Linked DNA regions of Lonchura striata. The protein of the gene in region 4 binds, or shares a complex with, the protein of the main gene of each other region. Links are inferred from orthologs where the notes say so. Each region holds a gene or a part of one and is shown on either strand. Other genes may lie near its edges. The genes, in order: TAF1D, POLR2K, RRN3 and TAF1C.

Region 1 (7,210 bases), on a different chromosome or scaffold from region 4:
AAGGACAGTAAAAGGGCATTCTTCAAATTATACCCCAAATCTGAACAATTCCCAGCAACACAATTCCCAGTTTACAGGAGATCCTCAGGACAGATGGGGAAAAAAGGGAAAATTCTGCTTTGTGATGAAATTTTTCTGATACTCTTTCAAGCTGTTCTACTGCAAGTACATGGTGTTCTCTGCAGAGCTTAGAGGTCTACAGCAGCCCTGGCCTACTGCCCCCATCTGACTGGATGAGAAAAGCACTGAGAACCACCCAGGGCACTGCTGGGACCACACGTTCTCAACACATGGAAATGTCAAACTGACACAGATCTGGGAAAGTGGCAAACTGAACTTGAGGATCAATCTGAAAGACAAAAAAACTTCAGTATATCTGCTGCAGGGGAGAGACTGCTGGAATAATGTCTTCCTCCTAGGGCAAGAAAAGAAGCTCATGAGCATCTGGGCCAAACCTGTAAGTCCCTTCCAACCTCAACCATTCTGTTATTCTGAGTAGATCTTGCAAAGGCTTTGGAAAGAAGTAAACTACAGAAGATGTTTCCTGCAGCCCTGTTCTAAGGCAATCACAAAAGGAGGAGCCAACTATGTTCAAGCAAGAGGATCTGCCATACTACACTGCATCTTGTCATCTGCCATACTACTACAATGCATCTTGTCAGCTATGTTTTGGGCAGTCCTGAAAAAGAAAGAAATATTAGAGGATAGAGGAGGACAGATAATTCTGTATGTGTAAAGAAGTTTGGTGTGTAGTGGTCAAACTTTCATGACCTGCACACAAATCTGCACATGCAGCAGTTTTAAAGGAATTGAGCCTGTGCATTTATCTTGGGCCCTTGGGGAGGACTCATTGTTTGCTCTAAGAAAATAATCTCATTATATAGAGAAACAGTGCTGTTTTTTACCTCTCGGTGTGCTAAAAGCAGGAATTCTGCATGTCCTAGCTGTAGAAAGACTTTGGTATGAGTTTTAAGATAAGTTTGAAGAGTACATTACAAAGTAGTGTATAAAGTAATGTATAAAGTCACGTGTTGCATTACTTACCCCCAGCAAGCTCCTCCAGACTTGGGACATGAAAAGCAAACCTTTCGACTTTGGCCATTTCCTGATCAGTGCTGATTTCTTCAGGTAAGAAGTTACAGTACAGCACACTGCAGAGTAAGTGGTCTGCCAGCAAAGATAATAGTTTAACAATTTAAACATGCTCCTTTCAACATGTTAATTATTTTTCAATTTCACTCTAGAATACATAGAAAAAATAGAACTGTAGTTCTACCATCATAGGAGACACTGACATCTTCAATAGCACCATTAAATTTCGTATGCATTTTGGAAGAAGATGTGTCTGTCAGCCCTATAGCTGGCTCAGAGCATTACACACACTAGTCCTCAAGCTGACAACTGGGTGTAAAGAAAACATATCCTACGCTGAATGCAGTTCAAGTGGTCAGGAGATTTGGGAGTCTTTTTGTAAGGCTGGAGTCACAAGAAAGTTTTGAAAGAAACCTGAGCTTTCCTGAGCACATCAACTGCCTCCTAAGGTCTTCCTGAATTTAATGTTTACTTTTCCAGCACTGGATGGTGGACTTTCAACCGCAGCTGTGACATGGTCTCCAATTGATTCTGGGCATGTGTTTCCCCTTCCAGAGAGGAACAGGCTAGCAGCAAAATAGAAATCAACAGCAGCAAATTCTGCAGTATCAGACTCTGTAGCCATACAAAAAGTGTCTTAAAAACCCAGTGTGTACTATAACAAAAAGTTTTGAACATGACTTTAAGAGCCCCTTCAGAAATGAACTGCACTGCAGTCAGCCATGCAACAGCAAAGCCAGCTAGAAGGGCAAGCCACTAGGTCAGGGCAAAAACAACTGATTGTACACTACCTAAAAATCTGCTGCAGCAATCATTAACTCCTTAGGCACATACCACATACTTGCTATACACAGCAATAAAAAATAAAATGGGTCCTATTTACCCAGATCTCAGGTGGAAGAAGGAAAAAGCCAAAATCCTAACTACATTCCTAGACCTGAGTCTTTGTTAGGAATGACTATTGTATAAGACAGCTGCTTACATATATATTTAGCTTCTGTTTTTAAAAAATCCTAACTTTTATGACTATCAAAAAATGTAACTGTCCTTACACCATTAGCATAAAGGGAAAAAAAACCACCAAACCAGTGGAAAAAAGAAGATGAGTAGGGAGATCGTAGCAGTCACTTAACTGAAATCTTTAAGCCCAATGCTCAGCCACTCCAAGTTACTGCATAGCAAGCAGTAGAGAAGGGAAGAATGACTGCAACCTGTGTATAGTAATTCTCATCTTAGTTGGTCCTATCTATCTCCACAGTTGACTTCATCCCTCCTCTGGCTCTGGAAAGTAGCAGGCTGGATTTGGTGCCTCTGGTAGAAGCCTCATGTCAGGCGGAGTGAATCATACCACAAGACTTTTAGTGTGCACCAAGAAAGGGAGTAATGTAAGAACATGGCTTTGGGAGCATTGTTTTAGACAATCCTCACCACCTCAAGAACCTTTTGCCACATCCAGGAGGAGGCTGTGCCAATGCTCAACACATTGGTTGTCCTAAAACAGCCTGAGAAGGCAAGCTATAATTGCTGCTGTACAAAAGGCAGGGACAAGACTTGTACAATACCAGTATAAGTTAGCTCCCCACAATCAAGAAAGGAGGGAAACACTGTGGAAAAATTTGATGTAGCATAATAAACCCAATCTGATTGGCAGGCAGTTGTTCTTACCAGGAAAGACACAAAAGGGTAGATCTGTAGCCCACCACTGCAAATATTCACAGGGGAGTGAATTGTGTAGTGTGGGGACAGAGAGAACCCGAAACAACAGCATGCAATTAAGATCCGTCACAGAGGGTTGCAGTGACACTGAATCGCTACAGAAGACTTTCAAAGGAAGAACACAAATGCTAAAGGGATGATAAAATTGTTATAGATGTGGGATGGTGCAACTAGAATGGAGGCAACAAGTATGCAAAGACTTAAAAGTCTACCTTTGAAGTGGGAAGAAAACATTACAGAGAGTAGCCAGGTGCCAGGAGAATACAGATGAAATGTGAACCATTAGATTGATTATATATGTGGATAGTCTATTGTCAAAACCTGAACTGAAATTAGCTTGGAGACTTAAAGCCAAAAAGGAGAGATTACAGGCAGGTAGACACGAATCGGGGAGGGAGGTGGTGGGGGAAGAAATATCAGTGGAAAAAAATGAAGACGGCAGTTGTGAGAGAGAAATGTAGCGATGACACCAAGACATCCATAGGGGCAGAAGCGGTATTTCTCTCCTGGGGCGGTGCGAGGAGATCCCGTACGGGGCAGGGGAAGGCTGCGCGGCAGCAGAAGCTGTTCGAATGGCTGGGATCTGGGGAATCACGGCAGGTATTTACAGGTGTGCTAGGCGAGGCTGGGGTCCGTAGGGACTGGGAGCACCCCAGCAGGCAAAGACAGCGAAGAGTCCTGGAGCGAGGGAGCGCTAAAGCCGGCATAGCTGCGAGGGGGAGGAAGGGGCTGCTGAGGCTGGAGCAGCCAGCTCGGAGGAGCCTGGGCAGCGCGGGGAAGGACGAGCAGCGCAGCAGGAACCGGAGCCTCTCGCCGGGCGGGAAGCCTAGGGAACCCGGCAGCTGCCCGAGCTCTGCCGCGCACCGACCGCCGCTATCGCCCGTCCGCACGTACCTGCCCTGCCGCCGGGACTGGCACAGCAAGGCAAGACAGGACTTGATTCGATACGGCTCGGCTCGGCTCGGCTCGGCTCGGCTCCGCCCCCGGGCGCGGCCGCCCCGCGGCCACTGCCGGCATGGCGCCATCCTCCGCCCCGCCTCCTTCCCGCGCGCCTCTCGCGAGCTCCCGGCGCTACTTAAGGCGCGGGCGGCCATTGTTCTCTCTTTGCGGCGGGGCGGCGGCGGGCCAGGTGGGTGCCGCGGCCGGGCGGATCCGCCGCCATCCGCGCCGCGGGGGCCGGCACCGAGGGAGCCGGGAATGGAGGGACAGCCCGGGCGCTGTGGAGTCGTGCCCCGGGGGCTGGGGCGTGTGGCGGCGGTGGGTGAGGGGCCCCGCGGGAGCGCTGCCGGCGGGGTGTCCCCGGCCCGTGTGATCGGTGCGTGCCGGCGTTTGAAAAGCCGAGCCTGGCGAGCGGCGTGCTTGGCGCCTTTGGCAGGTTCTTCAGCCAGTTTAGGTGGTTGTTTTCTTCCCTAAGGGATCTGCGTGGCCGGAGCTGTGGTAGAGGCCTGGAAGGATACTGAGCTGCGCCTTGTGAGTACTAGGCAGGGCCTGCGCGGTCAGAGGGCGTTGTCCTGCTTCTGGCCTTGGCTGGTTTTGTTTCTGGGCTTTGTGTTTGCCAGGCCGAGGGTGAGCCAGTGTGAGCAGTGTGCCTGCAAAGGCATCGTGAACCTAGCGTGCGAGTGCCTTCTCCTGTCTTGAGGGGCCCGAAATGAAACACAGGATTTGGAGGTGTGGCCTCATCAGTGCTGAGTATAGCGGGACAATCCCTGCCTTGGGCATGCTGGCCACACCAGTGCTGATCCAGGCCAGGATGCCACTGGCCTTGGCCACCTGGGCACAGCCTGGATCATACTGAGCTCCTGTTGGCTAGCACCCCCAGGGTCTTTGCTGCTGTAACCCAAGTGGAGGATCTGGCACTTTGCCTTGTTGGACCTCAACTCAGTTGGCATCAGTCCAGCCTGTGCAGACACCTCTGCAGAGCTTTCCTGCCCTCCAGCAGATCAGTATTCCCACCGAGCTTGGTGTCATTTGCAAACTGAATGAGGGTGCACTTAATCCCCTTTTTGAGGTCATCGGTGGAAATTAAACTGGTCTGGCCCCAGCACTGATCCTTGGGGAACATCACTTACGACCAGCTTCCAGCTGGATGTAACCCCCTTCAGCACTACTCTGGGGGCCCGGCCATCCATCCAGCTTTTCATGCAATGAACAGTGCACCCATCCAAGGCACGAGCAGCTAGTTCCTCCAGGAGAATGCTATGAGAAATGGTGTCCAAAGTTTTACTAAAGTGCAGGCAGACAGACAACAACCACGGTGTTTCCTTATACACTGGTCATAGAAGATCATCAGGTGGGTCAGTTGGGATCTGCCTTTTGTAAATTCAAGCTGACTGGGCCTAATCCTTTGGTTGATGTACCCTCAGGATCATTTGCTGCAGGTTATGTGAGGACATTGGATGAGCTCTGCTCTAGTGTCTTCAGATGCTGAACTGTGTAATTGCATTTGAAATATTAATGGGTATGATGATGAGTTTGTGAAGCTCTTAAAAAGCACAGTAAAATTAAAAAGATGCAGGTCTACAGGGCTAGTAAATAACTGGTAAAATAACTAAGCACATACAGAGGAAAACTTTGCTGTATGTTATAGTCCCTTTTGTATAGACTTGGGGCACTGAAGAGCTAGACTGTGTTGTCTTGAATATTCAAGTGAAAATTAACATTTTAGTTCTGGAGCTGGTCTCTATGATGATTGAGAACCAGTGAGCAAATAGATAAATAGATTTCTGAGAGCAGGAGATTTTAGGTATCCTGCAGCTCACAAAAGAACAGAAGGAAAATGGCATTGCTTCTTATGGTGACACAGTCTTGGATTAAAGTTTTTAAACCACAGTGAACTAAATATTTATGTATAACTTAAAACTGCATTATCCTTACAAGTATGAGAATCCATTGGCTATTTGTATGTGTGCTTGTTTGGAGGAAAACTTAACCCTAGTAGGGAGAGGGTTAAAATATTCAGAATTAATCTCAGTGAGTCTCTGGTGTCCAATCTGTTGGACCACTGATGCTTGCCTTCCTGTGGTCAAGAGCTGAACTAAAAGGACTCTAAAATTTTTTCTGTCCTCAGTTATGATATGAGTGTCTTGAATAAGTGGGTGTGAGTTAAATGTTAGTATGCAGAATATAACTGGTTATGGTTCATAGGAAAGCACCCGCTCCAGATTGTTCTTGTAAGTTTATCCTGTGACTGTGAGTGGAGTAAAGTCTGTTGCCTGATTAATGTAAGTTTTTTTTAGTTTCTTCAATTCTCATTTCCTTTTGGGGCAAAGTGAAACATGACTGATACAGATGAACCCCAGGCATCTGGCTCTGATTACTCTGATGTGCAAGAGCTGATCAGCCATCAGCCGCAGGAGCCATCTGTGATGTACTCATGGCAAAGGAATACAGGAACAGAGCGGTCAAGGCAGAAGGTGGCTGCACCTGGGGAGTCTTCAGATCATCCTAACAGCATGTGTGAAGCATCAGCAGCTTCAGCTGAGGTTTTACTGATCAGCAGTGATTCAGAAATGTGAGTTTTTATCTCTAGTTCAGAATTTTTCCCATGGAGAACCTGTGTGATGTGTCATAAAACTGTACCTTCTTTTGAAAGTAAATACTTTCTTCTTCTTCAGTGATGTCTCTGCTGCTCGTCCTGAGTGCTCCATTGCTTCAAAGCAGAAAAGGAGATCTCAATCTTCAAGGCAACAAGATGAGTCTGTTACAGAGGTAGCTGACAATGAAAGCTCCTCAGATTCTTCATGGTCTCCCCAAAGTCCAGGGAATTCATTAGACGTTTCCAAGCAGCAGAAGTCAAAACTCAATTTGAAGGCCATTTTTGCCTATCACTTCAGGGGAAGGAAGTTCAAAGCAGCCGCACACCGAAAATACAAAATTTACGCACGGAAGAACAAGAAGAAAAAAAAGTATGAGGGCACACAGATGCCCACAGGGAGGCCCCCACTGACAGCCTCACCTCAGGAACAAAAGAGGAGGCTTCTAGACAGAGGTTTTCAATTTCCTTTTGTTGAAAAACATTATGGGGAGAAACATATTCCCTTAAAGATGGTTCTTGGCTATGAGGTAAGCCCTCTGTTTTGTGGGATAAACATTTTATTAGTCTAAAAATTGTGAATTGAAATGGGCTCTGTGGTGTTTCTACTAAAATAAGACAAACAGTTTTTACTTCAGTTAAACAGGATATTTGATGCTGTAAAATTAATACCTTTTAAAGCAAATACTGCAAGAATATATGTGGATGTTGATAGAATGTTAGAGTTACATTACATGTAAATGCTTTGTAGTGGATTTTTAAGATCTTAACCGAGTTTTTTTTTCTACAGCAAGCAGCTGCAAAGGGCTATTTCAAGTACATTGAAGTGCTTAAATATGAAGAACATCTTAAAAAAGCTTTAAAAACCCT
Region 2 (7,561 bases), on a different chromosome or scaffold from region 4:
ACAAAGCAACTGCAAACTTTCTGGGAGTTTACTGGACACAATAATTCATATTCAGAGACCCAAACTAAATTTAGGACAGGATTCACAAATTTAGAGAGGGAACAATTTCTAACAAGTTTAGTCTCACCAAGCACCCTAGAGAAGGAAGAATGTTGGTTACTAGAACCAATGTAAGTGGTGCCTCCAACTTAGACAAATTCTAGGATGGAAACACCTGTTCCTAGTAATTTGTGTTCCTCAGTAACACACAGAACACTTATGCATGGAACAAGACATTTTTTGCCTTTTTTAAAATCACTGTTCACCACTGCTTACAAAAGAGATAAAGACAAAGTTTTGGTGATACAGAAGTATTTTCTCTGTTATTTAAACAGATATGGTATCTGTAAAAAAGACTGCTCTTTGACCCCAAAGTCATTGATACCTTCCAGGTAATAATACTGAAGATGACACAGCCAAGTCCTGTCTGCATGATATGGGCCACTTACCCTAATTTGTGAAGCAAATCAAGATCTTCCAATGCAAAGGCGGTGTATTCAAAGTATTGCTTACCCCTAGTGATAACCTGAAGTGAGAAAGGATGTGGAGAGAAAAGAGAGAGGTCCAAGAGAAACATTACCCAGCTGAGACAGTTTTCACTCCACAAATATGTGTTAACTGCAATGCCTAATTACCCAGCAACGGCGATAAATGAGATGTAGCTGAGGACCAGCACCCGAGGGTCTCAGTCACCTGGGATGCCGGACACGAGCAAAGCAACCGCTTCGCCCTCTCGTCCGGCAAACCGGTGGGCACAGGAGCAGAGCCTGGAGGCCGCCCTGCCACCGGGCGCAGCTGAGGTGGCGGCGGGGCACCCCGAGCAGGGCTGCGGGCGAGGAGCAGGAGTGAAGGCGGGCTGGAGGAGCTTCAGGAGCTCTCGCCGCCCGGGCCGGGCCCGTTGCCCTTGGCGAGGAGCCGCTTCGCTCTCCCCAGCCGCACCGGCCCCCCGCGTGCGGCCGCCGCCGCTTTCCCTCGCTCGGCTTTGAACTACCCGCCTCACCAACCGCTGCCTCCCCGCCCCCGCCGCGCTCGGCCCGGCCGGCAGCCTGAGGAGACCGCCCCTCGGGGACGGGAGGGAGCACCAGCGAGGCTTGCCCCGCTCCTCACTCCTGATACCGGGGCCCCGAGGCCCCCGCCGCGCCCAGCCCACGCTTGAAGCGCCCCTGAGTCGCTCCTGCCCCTGCTGTGCTTCCCCGGAGGCGCCCGGTGAGGGTGGGGTTTTCCCGCCTCTGCCGGAGCCCGCTGCGCTCCCGAGGGCGGAGGGCAACGGCGGCGGGGGCGCTGAGGGGTGGCTCGGGGGTGCCTGGGGCATTCCCCGCTAATAACCCTTATCTGCGCCGCAGCCTTTAATCTCGGGTTATAAGAGTACTAGTTAATTTGAGTTAATTAGCTTAATTACCTTTTTACCGGATAGCCCAGGACTAAAACAGTCACAGAGCGTTTGTCAAGTACATCACCTTCAAAGCAGTCGGTGAAGGATCCCCGACTCCAGCACCGCACAGGTCCTCATGGACCCAATAGAGTCTCCCCAGGTACTTTTTGCCAGAGATCCCGGGAAGGACCATTCTCCCTGGCTACAGTGCAGAGTACTTATTCCGCGCCCTGTCCTGTCGTGAATGGCCTAAGGGTTACTCCTGTTTAATTTGTTAAAAAACTTGTAGTAATTCAGAAACTGGCTCCTGGATTTTGCTGTGGTTTTAGTTTTTCTGCATACTAAAATAAACTAAAACGAGAAAACCGCCAAAACTAGACTACGTGGATGGATGTTTGTCCTGGGCTCGGTAAGGATAGCGTGATTCTTCACACCGGCGGGATGGGGAATGGCAGACCTGAATGCGAGACCTAAAACTGGCTCTTAAAGCTACACCTATATTTTAATATGCAAACTCCCGGCTTAAGTAACGTAACTCTTGTTCGTGGGTTCTGATATTTGTCAGCCTTCCCCTTTGGCAACTCCGCTCTTCCTGGTGTGAGGCAGCCTGAGAGGGGGCCGAGGAAACAAGGGCTTAAAAGTTCCCGACCCAGAGCCGGCGGAAACTGACTTCGAGGGAAAGAATATCTGTTTATTTGACTACAAGGTAACAGTTATGGCTTAAAAGAGAAAGGCTCTTGGACTATCTCCCCCTTCCTTTTTAGAAGGAGAAAACATTAGAAACTTCTTTCAAGGTAGTCGAAGATTTCTGAAAGTGCTTTCTGTAATACCGTCTGCTTCACAGGAACTGAATAAAATTGTTTTTCAAATATTTGTATTTATTTCTAAAATACCTTCTCAGTAAAATTGGAAGCTTACTAGTGAGACACAGCCACTGCAAGCTCTGTCTCCGTCACTCAAATCTGCATGGATTTATGCGAGCTGGATCAAAAATATCCAAGAAATTTAGCAAGTCGTAATTGCGACATTTTATGCAATACACAGAAGTGTCACACTACAAAGTGTGTTAAAAAAAAAAAAGTTCCCATCCCAAAAAACCACCGCAACAAAAACCAACCAAGAAAAAAAAACCCAAAAAACAACACAAAAAAAACCCCCCAAGACCTGAGAACGCAACTTCTAACAAGTGAAACCAGGTGAGACGTTCTGAAATAGTCGCACTGCGCTCGGTTCCGGCTGCATTTCCTTCCCCTGTCCAAAGTACCTGTATCCCTGTGCTTTCCCCATCTCGACACACAAATCTTTCTTCTCATTTGCCTGCCAATTCCCCAATAACTATTTCACTTTACAGTACAGTGGGAATCTCTCAGACAGTCTCCACGCTCTCTGCTACTCTAAATCCAACGGAGCATCTTTAGGGCTGGAATTTACCAGCACATGGGAGTGGGACTTAGCAAAGCGCTCCTCCCGTAAGGGGCGGATTTTATCGGAAACTGCTGAAGTGAAGCTGTAAGATCTGGTAAAGCATCCCATTTTTCCAAGGGAATGTTTAAGGGATACCAATAATAAAAATATTTACATTATTTCTTTATTAATAATGGAAACATTATTTTCACGGGATTAACCGAATCTTTCATGGAGATATTTTTAGTAAGTCCTTTTAAATTTGTCCGTTTGACAAATGAGTTTTTAAAATACCAGTAAGCCTAGAGAAACAATAACCGGGTGTGTGTGGGGGGGGGTGCTTTTTTTAGGAGTTGGAAATTTCTTACCGTGCCTTTATCGATAAAGAGCCCAGGCTGTTTCTCTCCTCTGTTTAAACCTCTTGGTACCCACCTATACCCACAGCTCCGTAGCAGAGGAGAGGATGCAAGTAGTAACCTATAACAGTACCTCTGCCTTTTACAAACCATTTTTCTTGCCTGTGCTTTATTCTGGCACTCCAGAGCTTTATTCTTTAAGAGCAGTGTGAAGAAGCAAGTCTAAAGCCATTACTGTGATTTCATTACGTTTAATTTAAACACAAAATGAGGGAAACTGCAACTATTTATTATTACCTGAGTTCGTTTTAGGTAAGTTACATGTCCTGTATGAAGGTGATTTGCTGGTAGGAGAACATCAATGAATTACAACTGATAAAAGCTCATCCTTATTAATTTGGATGCTTAGGAAACAATTTTTATTCAGTATTCAGAAACAGAAAGAGATCTTTCCTTAAACTAGGGAATCTTTGAATGATCTAGTAGTTTAAATTGGCATATTCATAAAACATAGTATTCGTTAAACATTGTGGGAGGTGGGGAGAAATACAGCAAAGATTCCTAATTCTACAAACTGTCAGTCGAAGATTCAAAATTCCTACCGCAAGCGAGGTGGAACCACTGACAAAGAGCAACCGGTGTAGTTTCAAATCTTGCTTGCACTATTTTAGTTCAGCACATCGGGGAATACCGACATATGAAGTTCTCTCATAATAGAACCTTACACATAAAATGCGCAACATATATGTTTGTAGTATATAAGTTTGGCTTCATGTGGGTAAATATGATACCGACCACGTCATCAAAATATCAAGATGCCGGCTTTATCCACGAATTTTAGGTAAAATGCTTCTGAAAACAGAGAGGACCTTGAGGCAGAACACCTCGGTGGATTAAAACTCCGCAGCCGTAAGACCAGACCTGGTGCGGGCTATTCTTTATCCCGAGTATGTTGAGTACAGCTAAATAAAATAATGAAAATACCGGGGACCTTGGGGCTAGTGTTACCTAACCATGCAGCTGCCTACTTTCTTCACACTGCTATTCATATGGAAGCTTGTGTCTTAAAATAATGTGTGCCTTTCTTCTTCTTTTGGTTTGTTTTTTTTTTCTTCCCTTTTTTTTCCCCCTGTCTTTTTTCCCGCGGGTGGCTAGCACCCGGAGCGGAATACCGACTCCTTTCTCAGCCGCGCGGCGCGCCCCGCCGCGGAGGCCGGCGCTGGCGGCGGGGCGGAGCACGGCCCGCCCCCGCGGGCGCTCGTCATCAGCGGGCGCCGGGGAGGCGGCGAGCCCGCGGAGCTGCGGACCCGGTGGGTGCCTGCTCCGGCCTTCGGGTGTCCCCTTCGCTGCTGGGCGCTGCTGGCGTGCCCGCGGTGGGCAGGGACAGGCCGGAACCAGGCTCGTGGCCTTCGCTTCTGCGCGCCAGACCCGCGGACAGTGGAGGAGGTCGGAATCGGGGCGGGATGGGGAGCCTGGGGCCCGTGGGCTGTGCGAAGGGCTGTAAGCCCTTCTTCGTGGGCTCTGCGGGACGTGAATGAGCGGGTTGGCTTCTTTCACGGGTGCATAAGAGATGCTCGGAGAGAGGACCTCATTAATATGCAAAAATATCTGAAGCGAGAGGTGCCAAGAAGATGAAGCCACGCTCCTCTTGGTGGTGCCAAGCACTAGGACAATAGGCAGCAGGCAGAAACTGAGGCATTGAAAGTGTCGCCTGAATCGGAGGAAGAACTTCTTTACTGTGCAGGGTTGCATACTGGAACAGATTGTTCGGAGAGGCTGAGGAATTCCCCTCACTGGAGATGCTCAAGAACCATCTGTGTGCTCTCCTGTGCCGTGTGCTGTAGAGTGATCCTGCTTAAGCAGGGAGGTTGGACCAGATGACCGACTTCGGTCCCTTCCAGCCTTTCCCATTCTGTGATTTGGTGAGGTGCTCTTGGCGCATGGTACCCCCACGTCTCTGCAGTGGATCCTGGCTGCACCCCAGCACGTGTTGGTGCATCACTGGGCCTGTTGGCTCTGTCAGCTTGGTGGCACATAGGGCTGTAGGGTGTGTAAAGGCCAGCTAAGCTATGGCACCTCCCTGCAAAACACAGAACTTTAGTTCACTGCTGCCCTTTGCAGCAGTATAATTTTGCTCCATAAGCAGCACTAGCCCAAGGTATTTAGCTACAACTGTGATCCACCTTAGTTCAGCTCTGTGTTTTAGAAGAGTCCGTTGTTTTCCAGTGGTAATTGGTGACTGCACATATCTTAGTGCAGTATGCTGACACAAAAAACTATAGCACATGTGAGTTAAGATGCCACTATGAATATGGTGTAGCATACTTGAAAGCTGTAGAAGTCAATGGATTTTATCAAGTTCTCTTAAATGGAGTGACATAGTGGGAGTTTTAACAAGATGGTTTGTCAAGTGTTGATCAGACTCCTAAAGTATGAAATGTCCCTGTCCTGTTTTCAGTATCATAATCTTCCCAGCTGAACTTATAATGAAACAAATTCTGAAGATGAGGGAAATAATCTTTGCTGTAATGTTAAGCAAAAGCATCTGAGAGCCATTCTCTCATGGGAAGCAAAGGAAGCATCAAGAAGGCTATTTACTGGCACAAGGGTTAGGAATTCCTCTATGTCAGAACAGCAATACGGAAAACAGCAGCCTCAGAAAACCTAATAGGAAATAATTAATGTTCTCACCTAGACTTGAATTGGGTGGGGGAAAAAGTGTTTATCTATGTACAGTAACCACCTCAAAATTCATGGTTGCATGTACATTTACATGTAGGATAGGATTACTTAAAACTTGGAGGAGTGTTTGTGGAGTATATGCAACTATTTAGTCTGATGCCATGAAGAAATACTTGTCTTCAAATATGTCTGAACAATCAAAGCGATTATAGGACATTAAGAAGTATTTGGAGAATAGCATTGAGTTATTACTCTTGATTTGGTAGGATTTGAAGGGTTGAATTTTATCTCCATGACCCCTCATTGTTCAGGGTTTTTTCCCTTTTGTTTTGCTTTTTAATTTCTGCTATTTTTCTACCTACAGTCTGTTCCCAATATTTCTAATACCTTAGAACAATGAGTTAGCTAGTGTGTCAGAGAGGGAGGAAAGATGACAAGGCTTACCATCTTTGTTAGCACCATTGTTACATGAGTGGCATATAAGAAATTATTGAATTTTATGTTTCCAGCAGGGAAATTCCTAACATTGGGAGGAAGGAGGAAAGAAAGTGATTTCATGTTCTGTTATGTTTAGCTTGAGATATTAAAATGATTGTGTATGCCTTGGGAAAAAAAAAAAAAAAACCAAACCCAAAAACCCCAAACCCAAGCTAATGTGCATGTTGTGTATTTTTTGTTTTAGAACATGGATTCACAGAAGGACGTTCAGCCTCCAAAGCAGCAGCCAATGATTTATATTTGTGGAGGTAGAAAAAAGACATTTAATGATTTTTTTTATTACTTGTTACTGGAGATTTAGTGTTCTAATAATGAATAGTGCTTAGTCATTATACTGAAGGGTACATAGATACAAATACTTGCAGTGTATATCCTGATGATGTTTAAAGCTTTATGCATTGATGGTAACACATATATGGAGTACATATGCAGTGTTGTGGAGATAATTCTCTAGAGCTTGTGTTGCTGTGTGGAGCTCCTCGATCTCTATATGTTTTATTGACAGTGCTGTTAGGGCACTCAGCTTTCCCTGAAGTACAGTAGTCAGATTCTCTCTTACCTGTAGATTAATTGATGACTTAAAAATTGGTGGTTTTCAGGTATCCCTAGAATATTATGTCTTTTAAGACAATAGACTTTGGGCTTTGGAGGGATGAACTAAAATTTTCATTAGTAGATGATCTAGTATCAAGTGTGGAATGTGTTCTATGCAGTAATATTTGGGTGATTTTTAGCAAGATTTGCTTTTATCTTAAATATAAGTGAAGCTTACTTTTTATTTTCTCTTTTTTTTTCACTGTATCTTATCATTGAGCTTTTGATACAGATTCATTACACTTGCTATGTTTGTTTGCCACAAATAAGAATTTGACTGTCATAACTTCTCAAAGTTATCTGTGCATTAACAGTGCTGTTCTTCTTTGCCCCCACTTCATTTTTCTTCCTCCATAACATCAGAATGTCATACGGAAAATGAAATAAAGGCAAGAGATCCTATCAGATGCAGAGAATGTGGCTACAGAATAATGTACAAGAAAAGGACCAAAAGATGTATCCTTTTACAAGTACACTTGAGTGCCGTTGGAAAGCTGTGGATGGAGACAAGGGGAAACAGAATGTAAGGGAAACAGAATAGAAAACTCAAAAAATTACATAGCAATTCTTCAGGGTCCAAAATCAATGCAGTAGAGCAAATTACTATAGCACAATC
Region 3 (7,897 bases), on a different chromosome or scaffold from region 4:
AGGGGGTGTACAGCAGTTATGTTACATATTGGAACATAAACTCTGGGATTTTACTTGCAAGGTGAAACAAAGAATAACAAATGGTTTCACCTTGAAAGATAATTTGGAGTTCCCTTTCAAAGTAAGTTCACCTAAAGTATCTTAGAACTTCTCATAAACAACTGTCTGAATCAGGTCATTCCTTGCTGATAGACCAAATCCTCTCCCCATCAGGAGATATTTATGAACTTAACCAAACGGGTTAAACATGTTTGGGCAGATATTGCCTGAGAAGGAAAAAAACCAGCACCCCCCACACACACATTCAGAAACAAAACAAAACAAAATCCTAAAAACAAAACAAAACAAAACAAACCCCAAACATCCTCTCTTTATTTTCATTTGGAAAATTTGAGCATTAATTTTTGAAATTATGAAAGGAGCATTCTACATTGTTCTGATTTCCCGTCTTAAACATTATACAGTAGACAAAGGTGAGAATTTTCATTACATGGAATGTTTCTATTAAAGGAATAACAAGTAGATTAGAATCCTCAAGCCTGAAAAGAGATGCAGAATATAAAGTGTTCTAGAAGTCTATGCAGTCACTGTGGGAAAGGTATGAAGTGCTTGTCTCCCAAGGCAAAGCAGGCACAAACTGTCATGTGCTATGTAAGTGAAGTATGTGATTACTTGACATGGGACAGTGGGACAGATAAAAATTTACTGATTCAAAAATTCAAAGGACAAAGCAGAAGATACATGATAATATAAAGATAATATATTTGGCTAAGGAAGACCTGGGGCAGTTGATATCCTGAGGGGATATTACTTGTGTGCCATATTGTTATGCCTTCATTGAGACATCACACTTGGCCACCATTGGAGATGGGCTGGTGACTTAATGGATCTTTTCTTTGGGTTCCAGTTGGCTGTTCAATATGAGGAAAAGTACTTTTAAGACTGACTTTAAGTAACAGTTTAGAGTTATATTTGTTCTAAGCCTATTTTGGAGTAACCATTTCTTCATGTGTTACCTTCAGGATCTGTTGAAGACATGACTAAAGATGTTACGGCCCCAAAAAGTGGGGAAAATGCTGCAAATTATGGAAAGAGATTCCCTACTCAAGACAGTAGGATTCTCTCATTGTGGAATAACCTCTGCAAGCATTGTGGACTCTCCATAAAATGGACACGTGGAGCCATATCTCTGCCAAAAGCACCTATTTCAGTGTTGGACTGGCTATGCTTTGAAATGGTGAAAAAAGATTCCACAAAATCTTTTTGAGAAGTGACAGCTAAAGAGAATTGAACCTGATTCATTGAAATGTCAGTGCAGCTTGTCATATGGTTGGTTTTATTGTGTTGTTTCAATTATTATTATTTTCAATAACCTGAAAGGTTTGTATAAAAAGCTCTTGCACAATGAAAAGCTCTTGCACTGTTTTTTACCAAGGTCTGGAAGTTAAACTTACTGTGAATTTTTATAATGCCAGTGCAATACTTTTGTTTGTAAGGGTGCTTTTAAAATCTCTATATTAAATTGTTGACGCAAAGCTGCAAATGTAGTAGAAGTTGTTTATAGTGTAAATACACAATTTATAGCATCTCTTGTAAAAAGTTTCATTGTTATTCTGAAATAACCTGGAATCTGAGACTTTATAAGTAGACCCCAGTGATGTTGGTATACAAGTACATTCTTTGTAGTAACAAACGATGTAATATGATGACACTTGCAAGAGTAATTTTTAGTCCAGTGATGTTGGAAACTATTTTCCTAATGCTGAAGCATTTGAGAGAGAGAACATGACCAAAAGAAACTCTGTTGATTAACAAGTACCCCAAGGCATTGTAAAGCATTAACAAACAGTACTTGGAAAAAGATTTATATTAATGCTAGTGATACCTAAAACTGTGCTAATGATAAAATTGTGTTGAGAATTTCCTCAGGAGTTCTTCTGGTTTTGAAGTTACACTAAGAGTTTGGTGCCACCATCAGCAAATACTGGTAGGGCTTAAAATTTCAATGCACAATTGTTCTATGCCACACCTCATTGAATACTAAAGGTGGAATTAAGGAAAATATTTGCTAAGAACACTGTGGCTGTACTTCCTTATGAACTCCTGAAATGTCTTTCAGTGTTTTCTTGTAAAATTACTAGAGTAACTTCTTTTCTTTGCATATTCTCATTTTAAAATGCTTTCCAAATGCTCTATCTTTTAACAAATTCAGAAGAACACTAAACTTGAAGATCTGCAATGTGATTTCTCCTTTACTATCTGCAATTTTTAGGAGGTGTATGCAATTTGTTTCCTGCTTTTAATGGAACTGCAATGTGACACCACTCCAGTGTTGCAATGGCCTGATTAAAAAAAACCCAAACAAACCTGTAGATCAGTTTTCATTTGCAATAATTTTTTGTTCGTTTCATTTTTCCTGAACAGAAAGAGATGCTTTTTCTGATTCCCCATTGTTTCACTTATAAAGTGAATTATGAGATACACTGTTTAATAAGTGGAATAAATTAAGCCAAAACTCATATATGTAGCTCACATACTTAGTTTGTGAAAACCAAAATTTTCTATTAAAATTTTTCTATTCAAGTGTTCTACTCTATTAAAGCAATAATAATTGCTAGAGTGAATTGAGCAGGCCTTTGCATTCATTGTATATTACGATGTAATTAATCAAATCCAATATCAGTACTTAATGATTGTTGTATAAGATGGTAGCTAGAGTGCAACTTCACTCAAAAGTTATGTAGAATTCCAACTAGTTTACTAGTATGAATAGTATATATTTTAAAAATGAAATATAGGAACTGACCCATCAGTTAAGGAGGATGTTAAGCACAGAAAAGCACTAAAGCACTAGAAGATGGTGAGACCAAATAATTAGACAAACAGTACTTGCTGTGGAGCAGTGATATGATACCTATTGTAAGCATTGTAACTATTTTCTTTTTGAAAATGCATCCAGTTACTCTTACATGCAATCAGTTTGCCTTCTAAACAGAAACTGGGAATCACCTGCAGTTACACATTAACAAATATTTAACACTATTTTAGTTTCCTTATCAGCTCTGCCAATGCAGCACAAAGTCCATTCAAAGAACTTTTACATTGTTGAGTGGAAGGAAGCTCTTGGACATGTTTAGGACTGCTTGCTGTTGCAGCTAAAAGAATTCCTCTAGCCATTGAAGGAAGTCTTATGTGTGCTGTATAAAATCTTAGGCAAAATCACAAAGAACCAAACTAGTTCCAGAAGGGTGGCTACAGAAGTCTTTTGCTAGTTAAGTCTTAAAACTAGCTCAAAATGTCATCCTACATTCCACTAAAGGAAAAATACCAACCTCCAGCTTCTAACTATGTAGATGGATTAAATGCTTGTTAGACTTTAAACGTGGACTGCATCTAATGGAAGATTTCATGTGGTGTATAGTATCTACTTAAATGGGAATATCTTCATCATCATCAAGATTATATTATTAGTAATGCCTACAAAAATCTGTTTGATGTAACTTGTGAGAGTTGCTGGGAGTGACATAATTATTACAGTACCAGTTTGTGTAGAAAAGAAGCATAAGTGTATACAAAGTTGAGAGGGCTAAGGTCAAATAATGTCACGTGTTGCTGTAGCTAGTTTGTGTGAATGGGTGAAGTAAATTTTACACATTCAGCCAAAGTAAGCTTCCAGCAGATTGGATGTTACTGAAGAACTACACAGGAAATTCAAGTCTCTGTTCATACTTACCCGGGTTGCTGTGGCAGCAGAATTTGTGTGTGTATACAATCTTTCAGGAGCAAAACCAGTTACTAGCTCTGACACAGAAAAGTCCATAACACATTTTGTTTAATGACTGGTGCTTTAACATAGACCCAGCCTACATAGGGAGGATGAAAACATCCAGAAATCTCACTGGAGTTCCTGTGCCTCTATTCTAGCAAATCCATTATTACTTCCCAAGGTCAAACACTGCTTAATTTAGAGCAGATTCTTGGCCCTTTTTAATCTCAATTAAGTTGTTTGTACCATTTAGTTTATCCCTTCGGATTGCAGTTTTTAGTTGATAACCCGGGCTGGCCGTGCCCTTGGTGTCACCCGTGCTGTGAGGGGCTGCCCGCGGCTCCCACTGCTCGCGGCGAGCTGCCCAAGGGGTCGGGGAGCGCTCGCCTGTGAACCATCCCGGGGTGGGCTCGCTCCACCATGGCCCTGGGGATCAATCTGGATTTCTGCTCACGCACCCCGGGACGCTGGGATCGCTACCGGGAGTCAGTGTAAACCCAGAACGGTGACGAGAGTAGAGCTTCCCGCTCCTCTTGCCTGGCTTCACCACGGTGGGCGGGGGCAGCGCCGCGGCTGCTCCTTCCCAGCGCTCCCTTCCCGCTCAGCGCTGCCGCCCGGCGGTGCTGCTCCGAGCCCGCTCGGTGCCGCCGCCCGGCGGTTCCGCTCCGAGCCCGCTCGGTGCCGCTCTGTCCCTCTCTGGTGCCGCTCTGTCCCGCTCGGTGCCGCTCTGTCCCTCTCTGGTGCCGCCCTGTCCCTCTCTGGTGCCGCTCCGAGCCCGCTCGGTGCCGCCGCCCGGCGGTGCCGCTCTGTCCCGGCTCGCTGGTGCCGCTCTGTCCCTCTCTGGTGCCGCTCCGAGCCCGCTCGGTGCCACTCTGTCCCTCTCTGGTGCCGCCCTGTCCCGCTCGGTGCCGCTCCGAGCCCGCTCGCTGCCGCCGCCCGGCGGCGCGGCGCGGCGGTGCGGGGGCGGGCCGCCGGCGCGGTTTCCGCCCGGCCGCGCAGTTTCCGCCGGAGCGGCATGTGGCGGCGCGGGCGGCCGGGGCGCGCCGGGCGCGGGGCGAGGCGCCGCTGGCCCCGGTAGCGCGGGCGCGGCCGCCGCCGCAAGGCAAGGGCGGGCAGCGGGAGGGATCCTGGGAGGGGAACGGCGGCCCCCGCGGCTCTCCCGGCTGAGGAGGGGCCCGAGAGGTGCCCGGGCCTCCGAGCGGTGCTCACGCGGCTTCCCCTCCCCGCAGGCGCCGTGACCATGCTGGGAGCGGACGAGTTCATCAGCTCCCCGCCCAGGAAGACGGTGCGGTTCGGGGGGACCCTGACCGAGATCCTGCTGAAGTACGAAAAGGTGACTGCGGCTTCTCAGGGGCCTGCGCTGCGCACGGACTGCTGGTTTCGGGGGTCATTCCGTGAGAACACTCGTTTCGCCTTATGCAAGACCGTGCCTGAAGCCTTAGGGAAAAAATTGAAGGCGGCTGAGCGTTGTAGGCTTGTGCCAGGCAGAATTGCTGTGCGAGCAAAAAGATTCCCCCGTGAGTCAACCTGCGTGGCTGGGTGAATGTAAAGCCTGGCTTATGCTAAAGTGTGCACAGGGATCCAGCTGTGTTTGCAGGGAGAGCAGCTGAAAATGAGCCAGCAGCCTCGGTTGCCTTCTGGGATGACACCCTGTTACTGCTGCTTTCCTGTTACTGTTCAGCTTTCTTGAGCTGGTTGTCTTGTATTCTTGATGTACCTGTTCAATAGTTGGTTGTTCAGATGCATTGATGAAATTGGTAGTTTTTACTGAAGGAAAAAAAAAAAGTAATTTATTTATTTTTGTTTCCCCTGCTAGGGTGACACTACAGATTTTGAATTGTTAAAACATCAGCTATCAGATCCAGACATAAAGGTAAGACTTTGATAGTCAGGGGTCTGATGATTTAAAGTTTGTCTGTCTGAGTGTAATCACCAGACAAGTCATTCTGGTGACTACACAAAGCCTTTGCTTTAAAGATTTAAATTTGATTAAACAGCATTTTTTTCTTTGCAAAAACCATCAGGATTAAAACTCTAAATGGAAAAAAAATGTCTTTTTTGTACGCATACGTATATGCAGGATCTTTATAAATGATGTCTCATGCTTACTGACCCTGTTCTACCCTTGAGTCTCTGTTCCAGATACCATCTTTTTAGGTCACTGATGGTTGATTATGGAGACTCTTCTGTAGATCAGACATGGTTTCTAATTTTCATAGCCTTAAAGTTGCATCGAATTTTACCTTCTGTTCTCACTAAATCTGATTTAATTAGGCAGTAACACACATATGCATTTAGTAGTTATACCCAGAAGTATTGTTTCACAGCTCTTCTGTATAGCTACGAGCACTAGCCATGTTTGCTGTTTCAAGATTTGAGTGTCCCTTCTGCTTAAACTAGAGCAAAAGAGAAAAGAAAATGATGATGGAATACCATTTCTTTTATGTTCTGTGTGAGGGAGGTTTCATGCCTTGCTTAATCTGACTGAAACCTTCATGTCAGTCTGTTGGTTTAGGAGCTGGCATGAATGTATTCTGCATTCAAGAACTTTCATTGGTGAGGGCACAAACTGAATTTCCTTTCATGTTAGTGTGAAAACAATTTCTATTTACAGCCTTAATCTTTGACTTCTAAGGATTTTGGTATTTTCTGCTAATAGGTAGTATTGTTTATTGAAATAGTTAACCTATTTTTTTCTGCTGATTTAAAGGATGCCCAGATCATTAATTGGCTGCATGAATTTCGAGCTTCTGTTGCATATTTGACCAAAGAGCTTGGACAACTGGTCAACATTTTGCTGGTAAGTATCTGTTTGCTACATGGGAAGACTAAGAGTTTAGTACTCAAAACATCCTTCTTTGACATCTTGATCTTTGCTTACTTTTAGAAGCTACCATGGTTGAGAAGGAGCCGAGAGGTAGTGGAAGAATATCTGGGCTTCCTTGGCAATCTTGTGTCAGCACAAACTGTGCATCTCAGGCCGTGCCTGCGGATGATCGTGTCACAGTTTGTCCCCCGTAGGTTACTTCTCTCTTATCGGTCTTTGTTTGCTCATCAAAATCCCTATATAGATAAGTTCTGTATAAACACAGTCCATAACACAATTAATTATTGGGTTATTGAGTTTTTTCATGTTGACTGTCATACAGATAGTTTTCTGTACCTAGATTTTAGAGGATATATTCTGGGTGCTAATACAGATCTTGTTCTGAAGATGTCTTGGAAATGAATGAACTGTATAATATCTTAACTACTAAAAAACCAAAAGCTGAAGTGAAGATCATGTCAGATGTTCTCAAGAACCTCCTAGTTCTGTAAATAACAGTCTTTAAGAAGGTCTTGCAGCTAATTTTGACGCTCTAGTTGTGCTGGAGACTGTTGTTCAGTGTATTTGCTACTGAATTTCTTACCTATAAGATGTATACAATTGAAAAAAGATGTAATAATCTTTTTTTTTTTTTTTTACTAGCTCGAATAACCATCAGAGAAGATGATGTGGATATTTCAGATTCTGATGATGATGATGAAAGTGAGTATAAAGTATATAGATATACATGCTGCTGTAGTGCCTTTACCGAAACAGTATCCAGTGCATGTTGCTCCTTTTTTACAAAATTAATTGAGCTGAGTTCAAGTAAAACATAAGAAACATCCTTAAATTCCTAAGTCAAAGACTTTCTTGTACTCAAATCAATGGTGTGCTGACCCACTTATTACTTTGAAACTATTCCTGTTGGTGCTGTATCTGTAGGAATAGAATGCATAGGGAAACATTCCTAGACCTAGGTTGTTTCAAAGCCAAAGAAAAGTTAGTTGTTTGCTTTCTATTTTATTTATCTCAGTGTACACCCCCGCAAAAGAGCATTTTGGCAAATGCAGTTTTCTTGGGAATCATTCAATTGTGTAGTTGATATGAACTGTTTTTACTGGTTCCTGATTTACTTTTCTGTAACCAAGTGCATAAGAATTCTTTTTTCTTTCTCTAGACATCTCTGAAAACTTTGATACATGCCACAGAGCATTGCAAACTGTTGCAAGATATGTTCCTTCGTAAGTACAGAATCCCTTGGGTTTGTGTGCCCTTTTCTTGCAGATTTAAAGCTTGTGAACTGATGGGTTTTTTCCTATCTT
Region 4 (7,200 bases):
ACGCCTCCCTCCCAGGGTGTTCCACTGCCTGTGCACTGCCTGCATCCTCCTCGCACGCACAACTCTGCACCCCACTGCTCATCTGTCTCCATGCCTCACTGCATGGGTACACCGTGCCCCACTGCACGCACATCCATGCATCCCATTCCACAGACATCCAGTACCCTCTACACAGGCATCCCTGTACCCCATTATGCAAACACCCCCCTGCAGACGCATCTCTGCACCCATCGCACCCACCTCATGTCCCAGTGTAGATGTACCCTGTGCCCCATGGCACCCCACACCCAACTGGGGACAGCTCTGTACTCTGCAGCATATCTGCCCCAAAGCCCACCGCATAATGGCCCCATCCCTTGTGCCACACTCACCGTGTCCCGTCACAGGTGCACCCCACATCCCAGGATGCCATCCCCCCATAGCTGCGTCCTTATGCTCCATCTCACCCACACCCTGCCCCACTGCATGCAAACCTCACATCCCATTGCTCATGTAGCTCATCCCAAGCTACACAGGTACCCACTCCAAGCTCACCCCCTGTGCCGCACCACATGGACCCCCGCAGCCCACACCTGCAGCCCTTCTCCCCACCGCATCTCACCCACTCCCTGCCCCGCAGCAGGCACACTCCGCATCCCATTGTTCGTGTACTTCACACCCATCCCAAGTTCATCCCTCTGCCCCACGGCTCCTCACGGAGCCCTGTGACTCACCTCCAGCCTTCCTGCCCACCGCGCACACTCCCGCGCTCCATTCTCACCTGGCCCACCCCACTGTGTGCACACCCCACATCCCATTGCTCGTGTACCTCACGCCCACCCTACACGTTCATCCCGCTGCCCCCGGCACGCTGTCCTGTGCTCCTCCGCACGGACCCCCGCACCGCGTGCCTGCAGCCCCCCTGCCCACCGCACACACCCCCGTGCTCCAATCCCACCCGCCCCGCTGCGCGCACCCCCCACACCCCGAGGCTCCCGTACCTCACACCCATCCCAAGCTCGTCATCCCTTGCGTCCCGCCGCACGAACCACCGCTCTCCGCTCCACCACCTCTCCCACCCACCGCACACACCTCCTCCGCGGTACCGCCTCGCCCCCGCCGCGCCGGCACCCTCGACGTGCGCTCCCGCACGCCGTCCCGCGCTCGCCCCGCCGCCCCACGCCCGCGCCCCCCGCCCCGGTCTCCCGGCGGCGCTCACCGGCGGCGGGCGGCGGCAGGAGCAGGAGCGGCAGGAGCAGCAGCGGCAGCGGCAGCGGGAGGCGCTGCCCGCCGCTCCCGCCGCCCCGCCGGGCCATCGCCGCCGCCGCCGCCGCCGCCGCCGCGGCTGCCGTGGGGCGCGCGCCTCCGGCCGCCCCGCCGCGCACCGGCGGCCCTGACGTCATCCGCCCCGCCCACCGGGACAGCCTCCCTCGTCGCCATTGGCCTCCGGGCACGTCAATCACCGGCGGGCGCGCCACGCCCCGCCCGTTCCGAGAGACAATTCCTCCCCTCCGATCCCCTCGGGATGGACCCGGCGCTGACCGGGGCACTAGGGGACAGCGACACGAGCGGGAATGGAGATGGGAAGCTGCGGGAAAGGGGCACCGCGTGGAACCCGAGATATGGGCCGGGAACTGGGGCACAGGGCTGGGCACAGGGACATGGCGCTGTAACGGAGATAGGAGCCGGGAACGGGGGCACAGGGCAGAGACACCGTCTGGAGCAGGGACACGGGCTGAGACCAGGAACAAGGCGCTGAGGGCAGGAACATGGTGCTGTAACTGAGATACGGGCCGGTAATGGGGTCACAGGGCTGGGGGCAGGGACATGTCTCTGGAACTGAGACATGGCCAGGAAGGGGTCACAGGGCTTGGGACAGGGACATGGTGCTGTGACAAGGATATAGGCCGGGAACAGAGATATGGGGCTGAGGGACAGGAACATGGGGCTGCAAACAGAAACATAGGTTAGGGGAGAGGGACAGAAACAATGACTGAGGACAGTGATGTGGGTCTAGGGGATAGGGATACGGGTCTGGGGACAGGAATATGTCCTGGGCACAGAAATATGTCCTGGGTACAAAAATATATAATGGAGAGGGACATGGAGTTGCTGGCATGCCCTGGAATTAAGGAAACGGATGGAAGGCAGCGAGGGCTACCTATGGAGCTGGAGGTGGTGGGGCTATCTACCCCACAGAGGGCTGTGTAGGGGGGTCAGGTGGTTTTCTATCAGTGGTTACCACCTTCTAAAAGCAAATTGTAGCATGTATCTTAGAGAGGAGGTGTCCCACAGAGGGGGTCTGGGCACCAGACTCAGGGATGCAGGATCCTCAGACTGCAGGGATGAGGCCATCTTGACTGGAAACAATCTCATCATGCTTTCCCAAAGTCCCCCAACATCATCCCCAGACTCTCCTGACATCACCATCCTCCTTGGCCATAATGGAGAAAGCAGGTTACTACTCATGGGCATGCTCCTCTCCCATCCTATGCTCCACACAGGGCACCCTGGGAGCTGAAGCAGGAGCAGCCACCCCACCATGTCCCTAGCCTGACTGCCCAGCAACCCTCCCCAGAGCACAGACCCCCATGCAGGCATGGCTGGAGGTTCCCTCCCCAATGCAGACCTCACCAGCACAGCTCCGGGGCCAGTGGCCTCTGACACAGGGAGGTAAAAGGACAGTTGTCCCTCAATGAGAAAGCTGGTCATGCTCTCCTTGGGAAATGGACTGGGGAACTTGTCTCCCTGCCAGATACTCTCCAAAAGCTCCAGGATCCCATCAGAACCCCATGGGACTAACATGAACTCTGTGTGGGTTCCCATGGGAGCTTGGTGGGTCCCTCGTGGGGAGCCAACAACCACCTTGTGGGGAGGAAGGAGCACAGAGCTGGGGTGGGAGTGGGTTCACCAAGGCCAAGCAGGTGTGAGGAAGGGCAAGGTGGGATTGGGAACTGGCATATCCACAACCTTCCAGGAGCTGACCTTCAACTCCACAGCCCTCAGATATCTGAGACTGTCCCATGGCCCCATACACTCCGCTGGAGTGTGGGGTGCCCCATGGCCACACAGCCGGGGCCACGGAAAAACAGGTGTGCCTCTGGCAGGTCTCACAGGGGGGTTTCACTGCTCTCGAGGCGGGCAGAGGGAAACAATGCCCGTACTCCTGCCCGTGCCCCGGCGGGGTCCTGACCCAATAATTCTCCTGTGCCTGTCCTGCCCCGGCCCTATCACACTATTCCCTGTGCCTGCCCGGTCCTGCCCCAGTTCCACCGCTTCCCCTACCCATCCCGTCCTGTTTCCATCTCATCCCACCATTTCCCTCCGCCCGTTCCCGTCCCGGTCTTACCACTTCGCTTTGCCCTTTCCCGAATGGGTCCCACCTCTTCTCCCGCCTGTTCCCGTTCCCGTCCCGTTCCCATCCCAGTCCTACTGCTTCCTTCTCTCTCTCCCGTTCCCATCCCAGCCGCACTGCTTCCCTCTCCCTCTACCGTTCCCGTCCCGTTCCCATCCCAGTCCCACCGCTTCTTTCTCCCTCTCCCGTTCCCTTTCCTGTTCCTGATCCCATCCCAGTCCCACCGCTCCTCTCTCCCTCTCCCGTTCCCGTTCCTGTTCCCAATCCCGGTCACACCCGTCCCCGCTCGTTCCCGGTTCCCGTCCCGCTGCCGGCCGTACGTTTTTACCCTCCGGCCGCCAGGGGGCGGTGGCGCCCCACATGGCTGTACCGCCGTCGGCGCTCTGTCCCGCGCTGTTCCCGGGCCGCTGATTGGTGAGCGGCGGCAGCAGCGCGCGGTGACGTCAGTGGCGGTGGCCGCGCCATCCCCGCCGGTGGCGGGAGCGGCGGCCCGGCCGCGTGCTGCCGCCTGTGCCCAGTGCCGCGGCCATGGAGTTCCCGGCCGCGCTCTTCCCCTCCTACTTCTGCGCCGGCCCGCCGCGGGAAGAGGGCGGCCCCGCACCGGCCGCCGGCTGGGGCGAGCACGGGCAGGTGCTGGAGGGTGGCCCCGGCCGCCGCCAGGTGAGCCCCTGCCGGGGGTCCCGGCGGGCCGAGGGAACGGGCAGGACGCTCATGGGCCGCTCTGACTCTCCTCCTTCGCTCCCCGCAGGTGCAGCCGGCGTTCGTGCCCCGCCGCGGCGCGACGGGCGAAAGGTGGGAAGCCGCCGACGCTGCGGCCGTGCCGGTGCTGCTGCCCAGAGCGGGTGAGAGCCGCGGGAGCAGGAGGGAGCTCTCTGCACGGGGGCTGGGGGAAACATGCCTCCCACGTCTATCGCTGCCGCTGCCCCGCAGTGCTGAGCGGTGACCCTGTGCTCGTGTGATGCCAAGCCACCTCTGCCTTCTCCCCACAGGCTGCTGGATCCCCTCGCCTGCACCTCAGGACATCCTGTACCGCAGCAGCCTGTGCAGGAAGCTCCGGATAGGCAAGTCTGGAGCCACTCTGGACTTTGCCAGGCAGGTGGGATTTGAGGCATTGCATCCTGGCAAGGAGCTATTTGGCAAGGACCTTTGCATGCACTGACCCTTTCTCCTTCTGCCCACACAGCTGGGCCATTTCTTTGTGGATCACCCAGAAGATGCTTTTGGCTCCCTGGGGCGTCTGCTGCACAAGAACTTCTATCTGGGAAACGCCAAGCTGAAGGTCACTGTCTGTCCAGGAGTAACAGTGCTGCTCCCCTCCTTTCCCCTTGCCAGTCTCAATCTCTGCTCCCTACTCCTGTAGAGACCAGCCCGGAATAGCACCATCCGGATGACAGCCCTGTTGGAAGACATTGACCGCCTGGAGGCCCGACGGTGAGTGTCCCTCTGTCCCCTGCCCTGCAGCAGTCTAGGGGAGTTCCTGCTCTGTCCCCCAACCTGATGCTGTCTATGCCCTGCAGCGGCTGCCCCCGGCAGCACTTGGCCTCCCGCCTGCGCTGGTTCTCCCACCTCTGTCGTGACTGGCTCTTCGAGGTGCCGCTGGGACTGCTGGCAGACTGCCTGCATGAGGAGCTGACGCAGCAGTGGTCCAACCTGCTCTTTGACGACAGCCTCACTGGGGGGGCACTGGCCTGGTTGCCCCCTGAAGACGGGGGGACAACCAGGGGCTGCCTGGTGTACCCTGGAGGGCAGGCTATGAACCACCTCTGTATCCTTGCCCATGGGATGACCCTGGGGAGGGAAGTGGGGGTTGTGTTGCACCACCCTTAGCCAGCATCCCAGATTTCCAGGATGTGGTGCTGGAGGGGCTGCCCCACACCCGAGGCTCCCCAGTGCAGTTTGAGCTCAGCGGGCGCATCCGGCAAGTGGCTGCAGCCCGTGTGGATGGGCAAGGTGAGCCAGCCCCAGCATCCACATCTCAAAGCAGACAAGATGTAGGGAGGAGGGGCAGCAGGGCACTCCTGGGATGTTGCCAGATTACATGCCAACTCCTTCCCCCTGACAGATTTTGTTGGGGTTCGCTCAGACTATCACTGTGGTGTTTGGAGGGTGCCGGGCAAGACAGGGGCAGCTCCTGCCCCACTACAAGTGATCCGCACCGATGTGCCTGCCTCCTGCCTCACTGTCAGGTGGGTGCTGGAGGAAAGGATTGTGCGTGGGGGGTGCTCTGCTGGCACAGCCCTGCTCTGTGTGGTGAGTTCTGTTGCACAATGATGATGCTGTGTCCCCTGTCCTGCAGCCCTCACCTTCCCGGGGAGCTGTCTGTCTGCACCCAGAGCGGGACTGTCTACCTCTGGAGCGTAGAGACCGGGTGAGATAGGGCATTCAGGGCTGTCTAGGGACACATGCAGACAGTGGAGTCTCGGGGGGTGGGAGGCCCAAGTGACTGGGGCAGCCCTACCCTGTGCCAATACTACTGTCTCCCCACAGGCTGCAGAAGCTCCGCCATGACTCCCAGACCATGTTTTTTCGGGACCATTCACCCTGGCGCTGGAGTGACTTCACAGCTCACCCACGAGTGCTCAGCTGTGCTGACCGCACAGGCCTGCAGTGCCTGGATGCCCGGGTGAACTTGGGAGGGTGGGTGTGTTGCTTGGAGCAGGCAGGGAAGAGGGTTCCACAGCCCAGAGTGCTGACTGCACCCTGTTCTACTGTTTCAGGCCCCCAAGAGATGCCACTTCGACTTGTTCAAGGTGGGCGAGGAAGCTGGCTGTCAGCAGGGCGAGCGTGTGGTGCTGCCCATGTACCTGGGTAGGGCTCACCCCTCACAGTACCTTGTCACCACCCAGGTGAGTCCCACCACAGCTGGGAGCTGGGGAAGACACGACACACAGTTGTGTCTCCCAGTGCTTATGGGGCATGAGGATTTTCCAGTGAGGGGAGCTGCCACAGTGCGTTGAGGTGTGTCCTGTCTGACCCAAGACTTCTGTCTTAGTTCTCCGTGTATGTGCTGGACGAGCGGTTGCCACTGGTGCCTGTTCTGAAGTGGCCACATATGATGAAGGCCCCTCCACTCTTTGCACACCTGATGCCAGGGAAGCCCGAGAGGAGCCACAGGGTGCTGCTCGGTGCGTCCCGCACCCAGGAGCTGTTGCTGTTGCAATACCGTGGTAGGAAATCAAGCTCCAGAGCCAGGGCTGCTCTGTACCCATGTCCTAGCTGCTGGGATCAGCTGCTGTTCTGGCACCTGTGCTAAACAGACGGTATTTGGGGTGTTTCCTCAGGGGGCAGCCAGTCGGCCTGTCAGCTGGCTGGGACTCCGCAGAAGCTGCACAATATTGCAGGGTGCCTGCAGCACCTGCCCACCCAGCTCCCACACCGCCACCACCTGCTCCAGCAGCGCCTGTCAGCTCCAGCAGCAGGTGAGTGTCCCACTCTGCCCCAGGCTGCAGGTCCTGGTGAGGGAGAAGGTGGAACAGAGTGAAGTGTAGCCTTTGTCATGGCCTGGCTGGAGCGTGGCTGAAAAACCAAAAGCAAAGCCCCGGAACAATCCTGCAGAAGAGATTCATGACACAGAAAAAGATGTACAGGGCAGGAACCAGCAGTGAGAGTGCCCACTGAGGGGTGGAGGCAGCCCTCACTGCTGGCCAGGCCCATGGAGTGTTCCTGGGGCTGGAACTCTGGTAACAATGCCTTTCCTTTTTCCTGCAGGGCTGGCTGCCATGCTGCAGGAGGATGGACCACACAAGTCCATGTTGATTTTCCAGCTCTCTGAGGCTGGGGATGTCTTCTGCCAGAGGCTGACCCACAAGGCGGCACAGGCCCCTGCATCCCCATCGAGGGATGAGGCCACAACAGCCCCTGGCTCT

What was found.
Region 1: TAF1C (region 4) and TAF1D share a complex: the UniProt entries of both Homo sapiens proteins name them as parts of the transcription factor SL1/TIF-IB complex. The link is inferred for Lonchura striata from reciprocal best matches to the Homo sapiens genes TAF1C and TAF1D.
Region 2: TAF1C (region 4) and POLR2K share a complex: the UniProt entries of both Homo sapiens proteins name them as parts of the pol I pre-initiation complex. The link is inferred for Lonchura striata from reciprocal best matches to the Homo sapiens genes TAF1C and POLR2K.
Region 3: TAF1C (region 4) and RRN3 share a complex: the UniProt entries of both Homo sapiens proteins name them as parts of the pol I pre-initiation complex. The link is inferred for Lonchura striata from reciprocal best matches to the Homo sapiens genes TAF1C and RRN3.

What each region holds. Positions count from the first base shown.
Region 1 is NC_134604.1:39,303,040-39,310,249, reverse strand, and holds the start of TAF1D (TATA box-binding protein-associated factor RNA polymerase I subunit D), read left to right. Parts: upstream 1-3,872; 5' UTR 3,873-3,938; intron 3,939-4,222; exon of another isoform or gene 4,223-4,279; intron 4,280-6,071; 5' UTR 6,072-6,083; coding exon 6,084-6,319; intron 6,320-6,422; coding exon 6,423-6,870; intron 6,871-7,130; coding exon 7,131-7,210. Other genes in the region: BKGD (ester hydrolase C11orf54 homolog), read right to left, coding at 1,045-1,102. UniProt on the Homo sapiens protein: Component of the transcription factor SL1/TIF-IB complex, which is involved in the assembly of the PIC (preinitiation complex) during RNA polymerase I-dependent transcription.
Region 2 is NC_134603.1:21,794,139-21,801,699, reverse strand, and holds the start of POLR2K (DNA-directed RNA polymerases I, II, and III subunit RPABC4), read left to right. Parts: upstream 1-4,429; 5' UTR 4,430-4,617; intron 4,618-6,535; 5' UTR 6,536-6,538; coding exon 6,539-6,599; intron 6,600-7,308; coding exon 7,309-7,401; intron 7,402-7,561. UniProt on the Homo sapiens protein: DNA-dependent RNA polymerase catalyzes the transcription of DNA into RNA using the four ribonucleoside triphosphates as substrates.
Region 3 is NC_134618.1:8,938,668-8,946,564, forward strand, and holds the start of RRN3 (RNA polymerase I-specific transcription initiation factor RRN3), read left to right. Parts: upstream 1-4,791; 5' UTR 4,792-4,868; intron 4,869-4,995; 5' UTR 4,996-5,006; coding exon 5,007-5,099; intron 5,100-5,582; coding exon 5,583-5,639; intron 5,640-6,476; coding exon 6,477-6,566; intron 6,567-6,653; coding exon 6,654-6,783; intron 6,784-7,235; coding exon 7,236-7,295; intron 7,296-7,752; coding exon 7,753-7,816; intron 7,817-7,897. Other genes in the region: transmembrane protein 238, read left to right, coding at 1,023-1,032. UniProt on the Homo sapiens protein: Required for efficient transcription initiation by RNA polymerase I (Pol I). Required for the formation of the competent pre-initiation complex (PIC).
Region 4 is NC_134642.1:39,697,570-39,704,769, reverse strand, and holds the start of TAF1C (TATA box-binding protein-associated factor RNA polymerase I subunit C), read left to right. Parts: upstream 1-3,862; coding exon 3,863-3,994; intron 3,995-4,082; coding exon 4,083-4,176; intron 4,177-4,323; coding exon 4,324-4,430; intron 4,431-4,517; coding exon 4,518-4,613; intron 4,614-4,694; coding exon 4,695-4,765; intron 4,766-4,851; coding exon 4,852-5,099; intron 5,100-5,173; coding exon 5,174-5,284; intron 5,285-5,396; coding exon 5,397-5,520; intron 5,521-5,630; coding exon 5,631-5,702; intron 5,703-5,821; coding exon 5,822-5,957; intron 5,958-6,051; coding exon 6,052-6,180; intron 6,181-6,326; coding exon 6,327-6,501; intron 6,502-6,615; coding exon 6,616-6,753; intron 6,754-7,042; coding exon 7,043-7,200. UniProt on the Homo sapiens protein: Component of the transcription factor SL1/TIF-IB complex, which is involved in the assembly of the PIC (pre-initiation complex) during RNA polymerase I-dependent transcription.